Linked DNA regions of Macaca mulatta. The protein of the gene in region 1 purifies or fractionates together with the protein of each later gene. This does not show direct contact. Links are inferred from orthologs where the notes say so. Each region holds a gene or a part of one and is shown on either strand. Other genes may lie near its edges. The genes, in order: PHF6 and LYAR.

Region 1 (4,435 bases):
GCTAAATTCTTTCCATTTGTCTATACATTTGAACAGTTTCATAACACTATGTTAAAAAAAATTTTCTAACACTACATTGCAGCTTTCCGAGAAGCATTAGTTCACCAACAAGAACAGTAGCAGTTGTATGCTAGGAAGGTAATATCTACAAACTATTCAGTGCTTTTCAATATAAAATTCAGATAATCAAAATCTAACCTGAAGCTACAAAGAAAACATGTCTTCTCATCCATTTATGTCTAGAATTTTCTTTTAAACACAACTTCAAAGGCCCTGACAGTCTCTGCTTTGATAGGTTTAACAAACTCTTAATGCTATCTATAATTTTAAATATCTCAGTCTTCCAAATGGCAACGGAAACTTTACCATAGTACTGTATTCATAGCACTGGCTATAAACCGTGAAACTGATTGAAAACAGGCAGCAAATACTTTTAGGATTAAAGAAAAAAAAAAAGGACATAACAGAGAAACAAAAGAAACAAAAGGGAAGTGTGTTTGCATTTGCTCAGGCAAGTATGTGTTCGGTTGCTTTATCAAGAATATAGCTGCCCAAATTTTTAGAATCAACTATGCAAAACACCAAAATCCATAAACAGCATCAGAATTTGCTATTATATTTGAGTTCTAAATTAGTTTCTTTACTACTGTGCAATGAATAGTAGGCACTCTGAAATCACCATAATAATGTATTCAGCATTACTCCCGGTCATCCTGGCCAGCTGAAAGGATGGCACAGTATAAATCAAATCCCGTACAGACATCTTTAATGTGTAATTTCCAAACAATCCTAGCACTGGCTATAAAACTGGCTTAGGATAAAGAAAATTTCTAGAATGGAAAAAATCACTTCGTATTCTTAAAATTAATTCCGAAATGGCATCCCCAAAATTCTATCTATATTGAATTCTGCCTCTTCCAATTTATAAACAGGCTAATTTCTCATTCTAATTTTGAGAACCTGCTTTTCTAGATATCAAAGACCCCAAAATCTAAAAGAGAAAAAAGGTACACTTTATTTTGCATTCAAAAATATTCTAGTGTATTTTTTTCTGTAATCAGTTTAAATTTAATTTGTAAAGTAACAAGAGCCACAAAAAAAGTGCACCAAACCAATTAAAAACTTTCCCCAATGTGCAATTACTAAATGGATTTTTCCACTAAAATTCAAATAATACATCTGTGCATATCTTGGTAATTTTTTTAGTCTCCTTGTAAAACATGAAGTGGAGAACATCATGGAAACAATGACTCCTAGCAAAAAATGTCTTTATCATAAAAGTACAGATTTTTATCTAATGTTGTCACATTTGTGGTCTCTACTTAAGTAGAATAAGGGCATTCCAAGGACCAATACTAAGGGGTTCATAATGATCCACAGCTATATGGCATTTTAATTTTAGTCTAAAAGGTTTTTCAGGCCATGCAGAGATCAAAGTTTGATGCTTTCACGCAACAATGAAGCCTTTTCTTTAAAAGAAACATCGCATTATGGAAAACACTACAAAGCAGAAATAGAGAGGCAACAATAACAGCGTGTAATACATAATTTAAATGCCTGGAAAAAAAATAAAAGCTAGATTAGTTAAGCTTAAGCAATCAATGCATTTCTGATTTTCCAAGATGCTGTGAAGCACCAAGGTAGAAACAACCTGAAACATCAGAGAGAGCATTCAAGAACCAACTCCAGAGCTCGTTCAATGCCTGGTATCTGAAAAAGCATTTTCACAGAAAAACAAACAAAACAACAAAAACTGCAGTTCCGGAAGATTAAAACATTCCACGCGACAGCAAGTTGAAATATACAAATCAAAATAGATAACAAACGTGATTCCCCAAAGAAGCAGTATTTCTAACAGGAAAGTTACAGTGGACAGAAATAAACGAATAAGATATACCGGAAGGGCACCTGAATTTGGTTGCACGATATTATTACATGCTTCGCACTGCTTTTTGCGGTTATTCAAAAGGAAACTAAAGGAATTTTCCAGTTGTTTCAAACCCAAGGGTAGAGAAATAATTTGAACAGTATAAATAAGACCTGACATTACGTAGTAAGGCGATGAAAATAAAAGGTTTTCTAAAAACAAAAGATTTTCCAACTTCCACGCAGAATATCAAAACGAACAGAAATTGGAAAAGAATATCGTGGTGTTCATCCATATAATGAAAGACAGTACACATAAAGTACCGGATCCTCTCCGTTATTTATTCCCCCAATACACACTAGACTCCAAGATCTCCCTCTAATCAAGCGCTAAAGTCACAAAACTATCTTCCTCTAAAACACTTCAGCAGGTTCCTTTCCGTCGTAAAGTCAGGGTCCCCTAAACGTCCTTTTCCAATCCTCCCGAATCCAGGAAAATATCATCCTACCACTTTCTTTATGCCCCCTCCCCCAAGAGTTAGCCCTCTCACAGTCTTCGTTGTAAGCTTCCCCTTATACCCCAGTTTCACCCCTAATTCCCCCCACCCTGGAGTTTTTCCTCATTCCGTAAGGCTAGCTCTTTTGCCATCCTAACAATCTTCCTCTTACTCTTCCCAAACTGGGAGTCTCCCTCCTTCCCAAATATGTTCTAAGCAACGGCAAAAACTAAAAATTCCCAGTTTTTTCCCTCCTCAAATGTTGCGCCCCCTCCCCCGAAGTCTAGGCGTAAGCCTAACCTCTCCTTCTGTACCTCCAAGGCACTTTCTCAGCAGCCTCTCCGCCAAGCGTCTACAATGAGCGGCGCTTCTGGGGTCCCTGACAATAAAGCGAGACCACCAAGAGTCCCCTTTAACAACGGGCAGGGGCGGCGGCCTGGCCACCGCCATCCTCCTTGTCTTCTCCCGCCGGGCAGAGAATGGGGGGCCCCAGGGTTCCGTGGGGACTCACCGGCAGGGCCCAGAGGCGGACGGCAGGAGAGAAGCGCCAATGAGGGTAAAGAGAAAGAAGTCGGTCTCGGTTCTCCGGCAGTGCCTGAGAGCGGGGCTCTGTCGCCGGAGGTTGTTTCCTTTCATTCGAGGAGAGACGGGCTCGCGGAGCGCCCTTACGTCGCCCCCCTCGCACGCACACGACCCACAGAGCGTTGATACGTCCCGAGCGCGCCGCGGGCCCTGATTGGCCGCAGAGAGGGGGCCGCTGAAGCCGCAGAGACACAGCGCATGTGCAGAAACCACCCCCTGTACGGCTCGAGGCGGCAGGCCCCGCCTCCTGTTCGCGCGCGGACCTTCTATTCTCCGCTCCGCTGCTCCGCCAAGTGTTTGGGGGCAGGATCCGAGGAGATAAAGAGATTCAAAGATATCGCTGTGGGTTGGGCGGAGAAGGGGCAGGGTTGGGACTGGAAACCGTTGGACAGGGGCCCTGGGTAACCAGTTCACAACAGTGATTCACGTAGACAGGCCTTATCCCTTGCACTTGTTCACCGAGGCCTTTTCACATCCATTATTTCATTGTACTCTCGTGGCATCTCTTTCAGGTCCTCCGTTCATTTTATTGCCAGGAAAGACTGAGAAGCTCGTAGTCGAGTCAGCCTGCCTGCATTTCAATCCTTGGGCGAATCGTTTTAACCTTTATACCTTTTTTTTTTTTTTTTGGTCTTTAAAATGGGGATAAAAATAGTGCCTCACGGGTTTGTGGTAAGGAAGAAATGAAATAATGCAACTAAAGCGTGTTATTAGCATCCCTGGCATATAATAGACTCTCCATAAATGCTGGGATTATCATAATCAGAAATGGTAAGGTGATTTTCTTTATAATCTACACATGTAAACCAGACACCTAGACGAGTGCTTTCCTCTTTGGTGTATTGGAGCCATGCTTGGGTTTGAACTCCAGCTCCGCCACTTCTAGCTGTATGACCTTGATTGCTTTGTATTACCTCTCAGTCCCTCAGTTTCATCCTGTCCAAAATGGAGATCATAATGGTATTTGTCTCAAAAGGTAGTTGTGAGAAATGAGATAATACATGTAAATCACACAGAATAATGCCTAGGCATATAGTATGCCCTATGTAAGTGTTAGCTTTTGTTATTTGCTATGGGCTTCACAGACTTTAACAACAACAACAACAAAAGCCTTAACAAACTAGTGAAATTTTAAAGATGCTCTTCAAGAGCCATTTTTCCTGTAGTGGGGGTGGATTTCCACTGTTTTGATCCAGTGCTGTTTCTATACTGTTTCGTCAATCTTTTTACTTTTCTCTGCAATGTCAACTTTAAAGTGTAATTTCCCAAGCAAACAGTGACCATGGTGGTGTGACGTTGAACTCTTCAAATAGGTACCTAATAAGGGTGGACAAATCAGCCATTTAGCTGCAAGGAACCCTTAGCCCTTTTACCCAAGGCCCTATGCTGTGAAAGGGAGTGGCTAAAGATTTACATAAGAAGATCCAGAATGTGTATTCCAAACATTTATGGTGTACAAGAAGACAGGTTTCCCAGCATCATTTTCTACC
Region 2 (4,374 bases), on another chromosome or scaffold:
ACAAGACTGAAGTACACATATGTGCCTTGAACACAAAAAACATCTTGAGCACTCTTGGCTATTCTGTCACTTCTGTTGGAAAATATTTCCCTCCTTGTCCATTCTCATGAATTCCTTTTGTTATGGGTAAACTGCTTCCCCCAGCACCCCAGAATGTGATTGTATTTGGAGATCAGGCTTGTAAGAAGGTAATAAAATTAAAATGAGGCCATTAAGGTGGGCCCTAATACAACCTGACTGATGTTCTTATAAAAAGACGAAATTTGAAAACACAGAGGAAAGACCATATGAGGACACGGCAAAAGTAGCCACGTGCAAGCCAAGGAGAAATGTCTCAGAAGAAACCAAACCTGAGGACACCTTGATCTTGGATTTCTAACCTCCAGAACTGTGAGAAAATAATAAATTCCTGTGTTTAAGTCACCCAGTATTTTGTTTGCAGTCCTAGCAAACGAATACACCTTCTATTCCAGGCCCAACACTGCTCACTTTCAGAGTGAAACCTTCCTCATCACCCACATACACACACCTTGGGAGTGAAGGTTTCTCACAATACTCTGTGGATCCTCCATTCAACTTTCATTCATTCATTTAAGCAACAAACACCTAGTGACCACCACGGTATGCCAGACCCTGTTTTAAGGGCGGAGCAATAGTTAACGTTTATTGAGCACTTACTAAGTGGTAGCCACTAGTCTAAGCGATTTACATGCACCACCAACTCATGAAATATGACAAGGTTCCAGCGACGCAGGTGCCGCTATGATACCCGCTTTACAGATGCGGGGCTGAGGCACAGAGAGGCCACACCGTAATCAGACTGAGCTAGGCTCTGGGCTCTGCCGTCTTAAGCGCTACTCTCAACTACAGCGTGGACGGAAGGAAACAGGAGCCGACAGATGGGCAGCGCGGAGCGGTGGCGGGCCGGGCTGGCTTCCAGCGGGCAAAGCCTGGAGATGAGAGGACGCGGGTGGGGTTTCCAGGCCGAGGGAGCTGCACCAGGGAGAAGGCCCGGCTCCCAGGCCCGGAACCTGGCCTTCTGGGTCTCAGTTCGCGTCCCCTGTGATGCCGGGTACAGAGCAGAAGCTCGCTGACTCTCGCAGGAGCCGCCAACTCCCCGGGTATCCTCGAGTGCCCCTGAGATGCGGAAGGAACAGCGGGTCCATGCCCTTCTGGGCCACCTCAGGCCGCGCGGCCTCGCTTTCCTTCCGGGCCATTCCCACCAGCGCCAGCCCTGCATGCCTTCGCAAGGCTGGCCACCTTACCCTCGGAGGCCGCTCTCTGCCCCGCCGCCTACTCTTCACCTGCAGCAGCTGCCTTCAGAGGCGCTCGCAGGGACCCGCCGGCCGCGGAACCATCCCGACAACGCCCCCTTGGCTTGCCAGAACCGCCCTCCTGCTTCCGATGGCGTCACTTCCGCTGGGGGGGGGAGTTGTGTGGCCGCGGTGCGCAGGCGCGCTGGGTGGCTCAGCAGTGAATTCTGCACCGCGAATCCAAAGAGGCAGGTAGCTGCGGCGCTGGGCCGGCGGCGGCGAGTCCACGTGCTCCCCGCGGCCGGTTGAAACCGTTGGCGGGCGCTGACTGAGAGGTGAGGGGCGGTGGCCCAGAGGTCCGACCTAGAAGGCTGGGGCTCAGAGAGTGAGTAGGGGAGGGACACCGTCAGCCCCTCTGGGTTACGCATGGAGGAAGGATTTCCATTCAGATCTCACTCCTGCTCTGGGGAAGTGGCAGGAGTCCTGGACTTAGGGTGACCAACTCGTTTTAGTTTTAAAACTTAAAGTCCCGCGTCCTGGGAACCCCCTCAGGCCTGGCCAAACCAGGACGGTTGGTCACCGCCCGACTGGGCTTCAGGCTTGCTGCATGTTGGGGACAGGGCTCTTCTCTAGCTTTGGCCGCATCCACTCCCTGAGGAGGAGGTCTTAGGATGTAGCGGTCCAGAGCACGTACTTAGGACCAGAATAACTACTGCGTGTGAATCTGGGTTGCCACTACCTGGTGTAAGTTTTTTAACCTCTTTGCGCCTCAGTTTCCTCATCTGTCATAACATATAGAACCTAACTCGGAGGACTGTGATGAGGATTGCATGCGTAGAAATGCGTTGACCTCCTATGAGAGGGCTTGGGTGCTCCATAAATGTTAGGATTCTCTGCAGCACCTGCCTCTGAGGAGAGGGGGGTGGGAATGAGGTGGGGTGTGTATTTGCAACCCTGATTTCTAGCAGAGGAGGGCCACTTGGGACTTCTTCACACTGTGCCCCAGGCTCCCAGGGCCTAGCATAGTGCCTGACACATGGCAGTTTCCCGAGTGAAGGGATGGTGTTTGAAACAGTGCTGGTGATGTAGTGTGTGGGGTGGGAGGTGGAGAGACATGGCCTCTGTGCCTCAGTTTGCTCATCTGTTTAGTGGAGATAGGTGCACCTACTTCCCAGGGCTTTTGCAAGGAACAAGGGAGAGATTCTCTCCTTGTGAATGTTACCCATTGTAACCCTTATCAGCCCCACACACAAAGGTACAGGCAGGATGGTGGACAGAGTATGTTTGTCTGTCCTTCTCTTGCACCACATCCATGGTTGCTCAGAATGCTACCTGTGGAAGGGGCTTGAGTCTTGTCAAGTTGGCCTGACTTCTTGTTTCACAGACGAGAGAACCTGAAGTTTAAAGAGGCAGTGGCATGCTCAGGGTCACAGTGTTCAGTGAGGGATGTCCTGGGGTTGCCAGCCAGGCCCCTCAGGTGGGCTGTTTCAGTGGTAGTGGTGGTAATAATGTGTAGGTCAGTGTCTGTATGTGCATGCAAGAATATTTTAAGAATAGTCAGGGCCAAGCGCGGTGGCCCATGCCTGTAATCCCAGCACTTTGGGAGGCCGAGGAGGGTGGATCACCTGAGGTCAGGAGTTCACGACCAGCCTGGTCAACATGGTGAAACCCCATCTCTACTAAAAATACAAAAATTAGCCGGGCGTGGTGGCACGTGCCTGTAATCCCAGCTACTGGGGAGGCTGAGGCCGGAGAATTGCTTGAACCTGGGAGGCAGAGCTTGCAGTGAGCCAAGATGGCGCCACTGTACTCCAGCCTGGGCAACAGAGCGAGACTCCATCTCAAAAAAAAGAAAAAAAGAAAAAAAAATAACAAGTAACAAAAAAATATAGAGGGAGGAAGGTTAAAAAAAATCATTCCAATCTCAGAACCAAACCTAAGGGCATGTTTTCAGGGAACTTGGTAGAGTAGGCACCCATGGGGTGAGGAGCCAGAGAAGGTTAGAGTGAATTTATGAAGATAAATGGGTGGGTTGATGGTCATATTTAAAGGAGCATGGGTTTAGGAGGGGGCTGGGTGTAATAGCATTGATGTGCAAATTAGTAGGTCACAGAAAAACCTTTCTACAGTTAGGCAGGGATGAAGCTTTCATATCTGATGTCTTATTTAACTTTCCACCCAACGCTTTGAGTTAGGTATTAGATCCATTTTACAGATAAACAGATTCTGGGAAGTTAAGGAACCTTGAAGTCATTTAGTTTTTAATGACTTTTTTGGCATTAGCAGATGTAGGCTCCAGCTCAGATCCTCTACCCCTGAGCCAGGGCTCTGTCCAACAAAACCTGGCAACCATCTTGTTAAGAGACGACTAACAAGTTCCCAGCCCCTTACTGACCACTGGCTGCTGCCAGTCAACTAGCTTAGCTGTCCAGCACCTGACAGCCTCTCCTGTGACATGGGTGGTCTCCTTGCCCACTGCACACAGGCTTTATAATTAAGACTTAGGGTTCTAATATTTTTACATGGAAAGCCATCTCGTAGAGACTTTAATTTTTTTTCCTCTTTGGATGAGGACCTCAACGTCCTAGGTACTGAGTAACCACCAAGCAAATGGCTAGGACATGGCAGGTCAAGATGGAGGCAGGGTGGGAGCCTCGACTTGTTGCCTGGTCTTTGAGGCTACCTCTGCCACTTACTGTGACTTCGGGCAGTTCACTTACCCTCCTGAGCCTTGGGTTTTCTCTCCAGATGGAGGTAGTATGATCAAAGCAGTCTTAGTTGTGTTGGGTGCAGTCGTGTTCATAAATGGGACACGGCTTCGTAGAGAGCTAAGGATCATGTGTTCTATGGTGCAGACCCCATCGTCTTTTTCATGTGTATGGCATGTGATGAGAGCTCAGTAGACTGACCATACAGACAGACGAAGACGCAGCCAGAAGCACACGCAGAGGACGTGCGTGAGGGCCCAGGTGTATCTGGGTGGATAGTATGGCGTCAGCGTTCAGGAAATGTCTGCCGAATTGAGTTAAAGTGACTGGGCAAGAACGGAAGTATGCTCTCAACCAGTCCAAGAACACTGCCTTCTGCTTGCCTTTCTCTTTTAACATGCCCATATGGCCAG

What was found.
Region 2: the proteins of PHF6 (region 1) and LYAR purify together in Homo sapiens (affinity purification with mass spectrometry; 3 studies listed by BioGRID and IntAct, with this or other methods). This does not show direct contact. The link is inferred for Macaca mulatta from reciprocal best matches to the Homo sapiens genes PHF6 and LYAR.

The regions. Positions count from the first base shown.
Region 1 is NC_133426.1:140,852,947-140,857,381, reverse strand, and holds the start of PHF6 (PHD finger protein 6), read right to left. Parts: upstream 3,025-4,435; 5' UTR 2,875-3,024; intron 1-2,874.
Region 2 is NC_133410.1:8,717,660-8,722,033, forward strand, and holds the start of LYAR (cell growth-regulating nucleolar protein), read left to right. Parts: upstream 1-1,486; 5' UTR 1,487-1,588; intron 1,589-4,374. UniProt on the Homo sapiens protein: Plays a role in the maintenance of the appropriate processing of 47S/45S pre-rRNA to 32S/30S pre-rRNAs and their subsequent processing to produce 18S and 28S rRNAs. Also acts at the level of transcription regulation.